2 linked regions of the Caenorhabditis elegans genome follow. The protein of the gene in region 2 interacts with the protein of the main gene of each other region in a pairwise test. Each region holds a gene or a part of one and is shown on either strand. Other genes may lie near its edges. The genes, in order: daz-1 and cpb-3.

Evidence for each region.
Region 1: the proteins of cpb-3 (region 2) and daz-1 interact in a two-hybrid assay, tested with the Caenorhabditis elegans proteins (one study listed by BioGRID).

The regions. Positions count from the first base shown.
Region 1 is NC_003280.10:5,454,505-5,459,153, reverse strand, and holds daz-1 (DAZ protein 1), read right to left. Parts: upstream 2,850-4,649; 5' UTR 2,821-2,849; coding exon 2,593-2,820; intron 2,538-2,592; coding exon 2,306-2,537; intron 2,256-2,305; coding exon 1,974-2,255; intron 1,927-1,973; coding exon 1,688-1,926; intron 1,607-1,687; coding exon 1,234-1,606; intron 1,153-1,233; coding exon 1,010-1,152; 3' UTR 545-1,009; downstream 1-544. Other genes in the region: putative oxidoreductase dhs-5, read right to left, coding at 3,369-3,674, 3,729-4,051, 4,446-4,553, 4,603-4,649. UniProt on the Caenorhabditis elegans protein: RNA-binding protein that plays a central role in oogenesis, but not for spermatogenesis. Required for meiotic entry and germline differentiation, at the pachytene stage of meiosis I of female germline regardless of the sex of the soma.
Region 2 is NC_003279.8:5,788,096-5,793,557, reverse strand, and holds cpb-3 (Cytoplasmic polyadenylation element-binding protein 3), read left to right. Parts: upstream 1-1,805; 5' UTR 1,806-1,834; coding exon 1,835-1,957; intron 1,958-2,004; coding exon 2,005-2,934; intron 2,935-2,978; coding exon 2,979-3,137; intron 3,138-3,211; coding exon 3,212-3,812; intron 3,813-3,888; coding exon 3,889-4,101; intron 4,102-4,176; coding exon 4,177-4,388; 3' UTR 4,389-4,924; downstream 4,925-5,462. Other genes in the region: ATP-dependent RNA helicase glh-3, read left to right, coding at 1-346, 392-495, 542-723, 773-977; Runt-related transcription factor rnt-1, read right to left, coding at 5,169-5,398, 5,451-5,462. UniProt on the Caenorhabditis elegans protein: Cytoplasmic polyadenylation element binding protein that binds to and regulates the translation of specific mRNAs. May not be required for oogenesis.

The sequences.
Region 1 (4,649 bases), on a different chromosome or scaffold from region 2:
CGAGACCGGATACCGTATTTTTGTCGGAATAATCACCAAATTTCGTGTCCGGATGATTTGCATTTCTAAAGCTACAGAAGTTAAAATTGTTTTTGCGATTTTTAATATTCACCCCTTAAACTCTTATAATTTTAGAACAAACAATGAAAAAAGTCGAAAAATGTCTCAAAACGAGAACCGATCGCCGGTCGGATCGCCTTGATTCTCTCTTTGAAATCACAATCAACATGAGGCAAAGTGTTATGAAAAGAAGATCGTTTGAGAGACATCATGGAACAATGAGACACCGAGAAAAGAAAAGGTTGTTAGCGTGTGAAAAGGGAAATTGATGATATCGGATGGATAAGAAAAGGGGATTGCTTCCGGTAAAAAGACGAAGGAATTGAGAATTCCATGAAATCAATGAGTTCCGATGTGAGTGTTCCGTGAACCATCCACCAATTTTTGTGCTTCACTCGATGTCCTCGACCTTGCCTGAACAATTTGTGGATTATGAACATAATCCACGGCAGAAAAAAATAAGAAAAACACTTAAGTCACAATCTTCTCTGCGAAAAGATTTATTAAAATCACACACAAAATTCTACTTCGGATTTTTTAGGTGTTAAAGTGGACAATTTGGGTGATTCAAAATTACCATGTAATGCGAGAGAGGGGCTACTGGTGTCATTATTGTGATTTCATTTTATTCTAAATTGGGGGCATACAAAAACATTTGAATACTATGGGAATGGGGAACGTGGGATCTAAATTCAATCTTACTAGAAGATATGAAAAGATCGATGGCTTCAGAAGCACATTATAGAATGGAACAATATTCGTAAGGAAGATAATTTGGATAGGAAAAAGAGAAAGAAACTAGCTAATTCTAGTATTTGAATCAAATATACAGTTGCGTATAGGATACAAAATACGTGTTTTAATTCTTATTTGGTAGGCACCAGAGCAATGGAATAGAAAACTACCTAAAGGACAGAAAATACTAATGACAAAAATGTAGAATTCGTATTTAATTATTCTTAGTGGGCGAGGAAATGGCTAGTGATTGGAGGGATGCTGAAAGTGGAGAAAGATGAACTGGATATCTGTGGTTCTTCTGATATTTCGCGTCTGGAGTCGAAGCTGATGACGATGGTCTCTCAGTGCGAGCTCCTGTAAGAATAAGAATAATATTTAAAAAAATGATTACTTTCTTTTAAAACTTGAATAAAAACACTGTTTCGAAAATCTAACCTTTGATTGGGCTTTTTGTCTTCTTATCCTGACATTCCGATGGTTTCCGGCTCTTCTTGCCTTGGCGTGGAGCTTGGAGGGGAAGGGAGAATGTATTTTCATTGTTTCCCATCGTGTGTTGTTGTGAAAAATTTCCCGGATAATTTTGATAGAAGTAGTTTGACGGATTTTGTTTGAACTGATTCATATCTCCAGATGGTCCAACCCAGTTGTTGTAGGCGGGATTATAGCCAGCGTATGCATGACTTTGATGGTGCTGTTGTTGCTGTTGCCAATAGGGAGCGGACATCATTTGTGGATATTGACCTGGTGCCAGTGGAGGAGTCATGTAGGAATAACTCGAATGGTACATTCCTTGGCTGTTCATGTACACCTGAAATTATATATTCGAACTGGTTAAAAAAAAGATAAATTATTGAACTCTACTACTTTGTAAAATCTGGAAATTACGTACCCCAGATTGAGCAAACTGTTGATATGGATGAGGACGGGTGTAGCCTTGAGAATAATTTTCATTATAGTAAGGACCTCCGTTGTTCGAGTCCATTTGTTGTTGCTGCTGCTGCTGCACATTGGAATTCCACTGCTGCTGACCTTGGGAATACTGAGTGTTCAACACATTTTGATTTGGAAGAAGTGGTTGTGGAGAAACTGATTCATGCTTTTCAGGGGAAACTTCGGACTTTTCAACTCCTATAAAAATTATATTTAAAAGATTTAAAAAATTGTTTACAAAAAACCTGCAACTGCACTCGCATAAGATCTTATTGGATCTTGATCTCCACCGAAGAAGACTTGTGGCGATTGTTGATGTTGCAGATTAGTAGGACTATTCTGCGGAGTAGTTTGTTGCTCAGATTGCTGCCTGCTTTGATCCTGACTGCGTAACGGAGGATAGACGAACATCTGAGGCGAAGCAGGATAGGAGTATCCGCTATATGGACTTGGAGATGCCGGAATGGCGTAGCTGAATGGTCCTGGAGATGCCGCAACGAGCTGACTTGGAGTGGCGATTGCGTAGCCTGTAAATTTTTTATTTTAGTCACTATAGAATTAAAGAAAAAAATCTTACTTGGTTGAAAACTATTGGAGTTTATTTTTCGGATCGCTGGACCTAGGTTGAGCTTCCTGCTACGGAATTCCAACTGCTTTGGAGTCAGTTTACGAATTTCCTCTGCTTGATCTTCGGTTTCGAAGGTGATAAATCCGTATCCCTTTGACTGACCATCAAGTGATTTAACCATTTTGACGTCCTTCACAGCGAAGAATTTCTCGAAATGTTCACGCAACTCAGTTTCTGTGGTCTGAAACAACCCGAGAGTTAGGAAGAACAGAGAACATATCAAGAAATTCACGAACCGAAGTTGGGAAGCCACCAACGAAAATACGGTTTGGAATCAGCTCGTATGTAGGTGGTGCTGGTATTAGTGCGGCTGCTCCGGTTGGATAAAGTTGTATCGGAGTTGATGGAAGAGAAGTCGGTGTTTGTGGCATGAAAGAGACCATCTGATGAGCAGCTTGCTGTGATTGATTTTGCTGATGTTGCTGATTTTGTTGGTCTTTTTGATACCGTAGAGGCGGCGACATCATAACCCGTTCGCTTTGATTCCAAGAACCTAAAAAAATGAATATTTATTAAAAAATGCTCAAATTGGGATAATTTTTAAAAAATACATTTAAATGAACAACAATTTAAGATTTTCGAAATTCTAACCATTAAAACTAAATTATTTGTTCAAAGCAATTTTTAGAACACTTATTTCTTGAAAATAAAGGTGGAAAGAAAAGGTTAATAATTAAAATTAAATCAAAGCGAAGTTAGATGTGCAGGTCAACATCAGCTACCGTACTGCACGCGCCAATTCAAAATACAATTTCAATATTTTCTAACTGTCTTTTTTCAAAAAGCTTTTAATTATTGTGTTTCAGAAAGACAATTTAATCTCATGAAAATATTTATTGTTTCGATAAATTTCACTGCAGGGGGAGTTGACAAAAACCAGAAAAAAAAACAAGAAACGAAATAAAATTTCACAAAAATAGATACAAGAACATGTTATTAGAAATTAAAATTTGTATGTAAAGCACAATTTCAGAGGGAAAATGAAAATTAAAAACAACTATTCTTTTCAGTATTAGGCAGTGGCCGAGTCACGAGTGACAGTTTTCTTTGTTGTAGGCACCACCGTTTCCTCATTCAATTCTTGAAGTGAAATTTCCTGTTCTGGGTTATTGCTCGTATTGTGCAATTCTGTCACACGTTTTCTCTGATGATAGTAGATTGGCATGATAAGGTACTTGAGAATAGTCCATGGGAACAGGTGGAATCCGAGCATTTGAAGCTCATGGTTCAAACATCCAGCAGTCTTCTTCGTCAATCCAATTGAGCCAACCGCCTGGTGGCAGAAGTTTTCTGGTGTCACAACGAATGTAGATCCTTTCTGGAAATAAGATTGTAAATTAATTTTCTAAGAACTTCGCAAATAACTGCTTACCGTGTAGTAGGTCATTTTTGTGGCGACCAATGCAGGGATCAAAGTTTGAACATTGATTGTACTGTACTCGCGATCAATCGATTCGCACAAGAACGTCATCAAAGCCTTTGTTGCACAATAAGCCGCAAGCATGGGTATTGGCCGTACTCCTTGTGAAGACGAGAGCACAACAATCTGTCCACCTCCAGATTTCTCCATTGGTGGGAGCACACATGATAGGAACTCGGCTGCACCCATTCCATTTACTCTCAATATTTGAGTGTCCTCATCTGGATTGTCTCCATATCTTTCCAAATTGTCGCGACCAGTTCCAACGCTGTTCACTGAATGGCAGCTTTGAATAAATATATTCAATGTTTCTTGGGATTTTCCCGTCAAAAGTTAGTCATATGAAACAGAATGTTTACAGAATCTCCATCTGTCAAATTACAATTACAGTAACCGGTTTTACTTGAGTTTTTCCTAATGGTCAACTTGTGATAATTGAATTCGCAAAACCACAAATGGCAGGTCAAGTTCTTTAATCTAATTGGGACAAAGTAAACATTCTTATTTATATTTCTTTCTAAAGTTTGAGACATTTTTCATATTACCAACTGAAAAGTCTCAATCCATATGTTCATTATTCAGGAATTTTCCAAGAAGTTTTAAGTAATCAACTAGCCAAATCTGCCCTACATTCCCTCATATTATTCCCCTTTTCACCCAACTTCTTACCGACAAATCCAACATCGATGTCGCTGATGTAATCGCGAAGGCTTGAGAAGTCGCCACTACCAAAGTCAAACACAAAAGTCTTGATTTGAGCGTCCGAGTGCTTCTCCTCTGAAAATTAAATAAATTAACAATACTAAATAATAATAAAACAACTTACCAATTTCTGATTTAACCGAATCAAGTTTCTTTGGATTTCTTCCAATA
Region 2 (5,462 bases):
GGCGCTATAAAACTCGATAAGTGTCGATACCTGGTCCTAGATGAAGCAGATCGAATGATTGATTCAATGGGATTCGGACCAGAAATTGAGCAAATTATCAACTATAAGAATATGCCCAAAAATGATAAACGACAAACAATGATGTTCAGTGCCACATTTCCCAGCAGCGTCCAAGAAGCTGCTCGTAAATTGTTGCGTGAAGACTACACAATGATTACAATCGATAAAATTGGAGCCGCCAACAAATGTGTCATTCAAGAGTTCGAGTTGTGCGATAGAACATCAAAAGTGGATAAGCTTTTGAAGCTTCTCGGTATCGATATTGACACCTACACCACCGAGAAAAGTTTGTTTTACTTTCACTTTTCAATATCGTCATATATGTTTTTAGATTCTGATGTCTTTGTGAAGAAAACGATTGTATTCGTTGCTCAACAAAAAATGGCAGACACTCTGGCCAGTATCATGTCGGCAGCCCAAGTTCCAGCGATTACAGTTCGTTTGTATATTAGTAGTGTATTTCCATTCTTCTTTTTTATAGATTCACGGTGCTCGCGAGCAAAAAGAACGGTCGGCTGCTTTGAAATTGTTCCGAAGTGGAGCTAAGCCAGTGCTCATCGCCACGGCTGTTGTTGAGCGTGGTCTTGACATTAAAGGTGTAGATCATGTTATTAACTACGACATGCCAAATAACATTGATGATTATATCCATCGAATTGGCCGGTTGGTTATTTCCTGAAATGTTTTATTTTTTGTAATTACCGTTTTTCAGAACTGGACGAGTCGGAAACTCGGGAAGAGCAACTAGCTTCATATCATTGGCAGACGATGTTCAAATTCTGCCGCAGTTGGTGCGAACTCTAGCTGACGCCGAACAAGTTGTGCCAAGCTGGATGAAGGAAGCTGCAGGAGGGACCTCCAATCCTAATAAATTCGAAAAATCTATTGATACCGAGGAACCGGAGGAAGCTTGGTGAAGCAATGTATTCTAAATTTAATTTCTGCAAAATATCAATCTTGACGTATTATTTTTCTGATAATGTTCAGCCCCCTTTTATTCCCCAAAATATCTGATCGTCTTGGCATTTCAACTTTAAATTTCCCGAATTTTTAAAATATATTTTTTGTTGTTAGGTTTATATGTTCATTTTTGTTTTCAATAGTTGGAATGTTTATAAATTCAGATCAGTATTCAATCAATGTCTCGTAAATCTGATAAATTTTTGTTTTAATTAAAGCTTTCAAAATCTTTTCAGATGGACTCACTATCAGTTTTTTTTAACTTCTCAGTTGTCTTGGCACGATGCCCACTCGATAATAACTGGTCATCTGTTTATTCGTGACTCATAAATTTGATAATAGTGAACGCTGAGAACGTGTTTTTTAATGAATTTTAATATTTAAATTCAATCAATTCAAATAATTAAATCTCATTCATCTTATAATATTAAAATCTTATGTATATAAAAATTAAATTAAGTCAATTTGAATTTTACGAAAGAATTACTGTAGCACATGTTCTGTGTAACATCGCGTCGTTCATCATGTTTTGTGTGCATACACTAAGCAAATTCAAATTTCAAAATGCTTTAATTTCGAAAATCCCAAAATTTTAAAATCAGTTTTTAGAAATGTTTTGTCAGTTTTTTATTCTGTCCGTGTTGTTTTAGGGAAAATTCTTTCTTCCAATTTGAGTTTGAAAATGTTTTCGTTAAAAACAAGTTTGAAGAACCTGTAGTTAATAACTTTCGCCTGAGCATAATTACTTTCGCTCTTGAACTCAAGGGAACATTTCTAATTTTCAGACTTGCTGCCGTTGATAAAAGCATTCACCATGAACCTGAATGACCGAGTGGAAGGCATCGGTAATGAAAGATCTATCGTTGCGAAATCAACCGAGAGAAAGAACAAAATTCCGCCCTCGTTAAAGCTCAGTCCTGTTGAGTCAGTTGGCGAGGTTTGTAAATTTGTTTTTCGAAATAGTTTAAAAGTTTTCATTTTTAGAAATCTCCAACTCCTGCAACAGTTTATGATTTGTTCAAGAAGTACCACAAATCGGACAGTGTAAAGCCGACCGAAGAAGACAACATGAATGTAGGATTTGACAAGCTTTCTACAGACGAGAAGAATGGATTTCTTCGAAAGCTTCAAATGCTCACTGTTGGAAGCAAAAAATCATCGAAAGTAGATGAATCCACTCCGTCGCCTGCTAATCGCCTACTCAAAAAGATTGTACCATCTCGCCGGACATCAACAGAGCATCCGAATTCGTCGAATCGAATGCATATTTTTGGATCTTCAAGAACTACAAAGAAGTCTATCGACTCGGAAAGAAATTCACAGCGTAAGAAATCTGCTCGGCGACTAAATTTCGAGAGAGACGCAGAGCAAAAGAAGGATTCAACAAAAACAAATAATAGTTCATTCGTTGCTGAAATGACTAGAGAATATGAGAAGATAGTTATCTCGAAGGGTGCTCCCGTTCCAATCAATAAGGCAAATCGGAATCTCTACCGTAATCCTCGTGGTTCCCTTGAGACTCCTACAGATTCTCCGCAAAAAGGCTTCAGCAGTTCAACCGAATCGTCTCCTTCTGACAGTATGAATCAGTTTCCATCTCGAGAGCACTTCACATCTGCAAATGAGGAATCTCCGATGAAAAGAAAAAACTTCCAACAAGAACATGGAAATAAAAACCGTGATAGCGACGCAACTTGGTTTGGAGAGCTTCCGCCCAGAGATTATACAAGTCCAACATTCTCACGGAAGATATTTGTTGGAGGAGTTCCATGGGATATCACTGAGGCAGCTTTAAAAGATTCATTTGGAGAATTTGGTTCGTGTGCAGTTGAATGGCCTGGACAAGAAGCACGTTATCGCAGTGGACAATCAAATTTGGCTCCGTCAAATGGGAGTTTGAGAGCTCAAACGAAGGTACGAACTTTTTGAACGGTTAAAAATAACACTGAAATTTTCAGTATACTGGACAAGCTGCTACTGGGTACGTCTACATGATATTTGAAGATGAACGCGCTGTTGCTTCTCTACTTCACGAATGTTCTCAAGAGATTGGAGGAGCCGGAGAATGGTACTTTAAGATTCGAGCTCAAAGATCGAAATCGACCGAGATACGGCAGGTAGGTCAACCACAATATGTGATGTTTCTTTTTTGCGTATATTCTACTATGATTTCAATTTTCAATCATTTCAGGTACAAATCATTCCATGGGTTACCTCGGACTCTATGTTTTGTGAGGATGATACACTTCTCGAAACAGGAATAGAGCCAAAACGAACTGTCTTTGTTGGAGCTTTACATGGGATGATGACAGCTCAAGTACTTCATTCAATAATGGAGGACTGTTTTGGAGCCGTTGAATGTGTGCAACTTGATACGGATAAGTTCAAATATCCGATTGGAAGTGGACGTGTCACATTTCGTGAACATGGCGCGTATTTCAAAGCCATCGAGATGGGATATCTGCACGTCTATACCAGCAAATTCCGTAAACGTGTCCAGATAGATCCATTCCTCGAAAGTACATGCTGTATGGTATGTAATTCGCAGTCAGCACACTGTTTCTGTCGGAATAAGAATTGCTTCAAGTACTACTGTCACAACTGTTGGGCATTGGATCACGGAAAAGATGATGATCAAGAAGTCCATATTCCAGTGATTGTACCATCGTCGGCTTCGAAAGCGTTTCCAGGAGCAACTACTCGTCGTTCGCAAGTTTCAAGCAGCTTGTCGTTGAAAAATGGATCTAACAATTCTCAAGTCAATAATTCGATTCCTCATTTTCCTTCGGCAGGTACAGATAACTAATTTTTATTTTTCGAAAATTTGGAAAATATCTATTTCTTAAACTCAGTTTTTATAATTTTCAGGTTTCCCTATCATCGTCGGCGCACCTGCACAAACATTGTCAGCTCTCTATGGATATATTCAAAATGGTCAACAACTGTTGAAACCAGCCGTTTTTGAGCCACCAATGACACCATCACCAAGTGAGATCAACAAGAATAGAAGAAGCTTCACAGAGTTTTCGACTCCGCCAACAGTCTTCTTCAATTCAACTCCTGTCATATCTCCACAAAAGAGTGAGTGGAATATTTCAATACTTTATAAGCGGAGCATATTATTTTACTCAATTGTTACATTTTCTCAAATTTCAGGTGTGTCCGACGGTTCTCCATTGCCAGCATACTACAACTCGGCTGCATTCCTAACTCCACCACCAACATACTACGGTTCTCCAAACCACCCGACATCTAGCAACATTTCGCAACCTCAGCAACCATACTATGGCGCTAACCTTTATTATGGCTTTATTCCCCCTCAGCAACATCCTTCTGCAATGATGCGCTCTCCCAATTACGGCCAGTAAGCGCTTGCCTGTTTCCATCAAAAATTGCCATGTTCTCATTACTATTCGAATATTTTATATAAGTTCCGTCGCTCGTAGTTCTGTAGAAATAATCAACGTAGTTTATGTTTGCTGAAAACTATGAATGAGAAAACTCCCTGTGAATCATATTGCATCTGTAACATCTTTTTTTGTTTTCCCCTGTAGCGTTTAGTTTGGGCCTTCTTAATTGTTTGTTTTTTTAATCAATTTTGTTATTTTGTTGTGTTTCTAATCATCCATCTCCCAACTCTTATCCGAATCTGATGCCATTTTTCCTTGTCATTCGCAATCAATTCGTATGCCATTTTCTTGGTCCCATCTGTAGATTTAAACTCTCCGCATTGCGTTTTACCTCCCTCTCGTTTAATGTATACAAGAAGAATCGAAGGTAACGTTTTATCTTTTTTATCACTTATAAAATTATTCATCTTAAGTACTCTTTCACATCCTCCCCAATTGCATATTTTCTCGCAGATTGCGCATTAATTTTTTTTTCGAATAAAATTTTTTCGATAGTACGACTTGTTGTCTAGTTGAATTCAAACCTGAAACTTTATTAGATATGATGATAATCTATTCCGATTTAGATCAAAACTTGTATTATTATACAAAAAAGGTTGAAAACCGTTAAATGAACCCGTTGAACGTGTTTTAAAACGAGAATATTGAGAAAAGTGACTGAAGAGGTAGGAAACAATTGAGATTTGGAAATTGAGAGAAATTTGGTGTGTTGTGGTAAAATAATGAATATTTTTAAGATTAAAAAGGCCTCCAAATAGTCGGAGAAGAACTATTCGATGAAGTTATTGATACATTTCTTCGTCTTTTTGATTCTACAGATTCCGGAGTTTCTTGAATTAAATTAATTGAAGTTTCTGATGATTTTGTGATTGAACGAGGAGAAGATGGTCGTTTTAACTTCCGATCATCAGAAGTTGGAGTTATAAAAATTGATGGAGATGATAGGCATGTAGACGTATTAAGGGATACTGCAATTAATAAATTATATATATATATTTATTTCCGAAAAAATAATCTAACCATTTTCCTGTT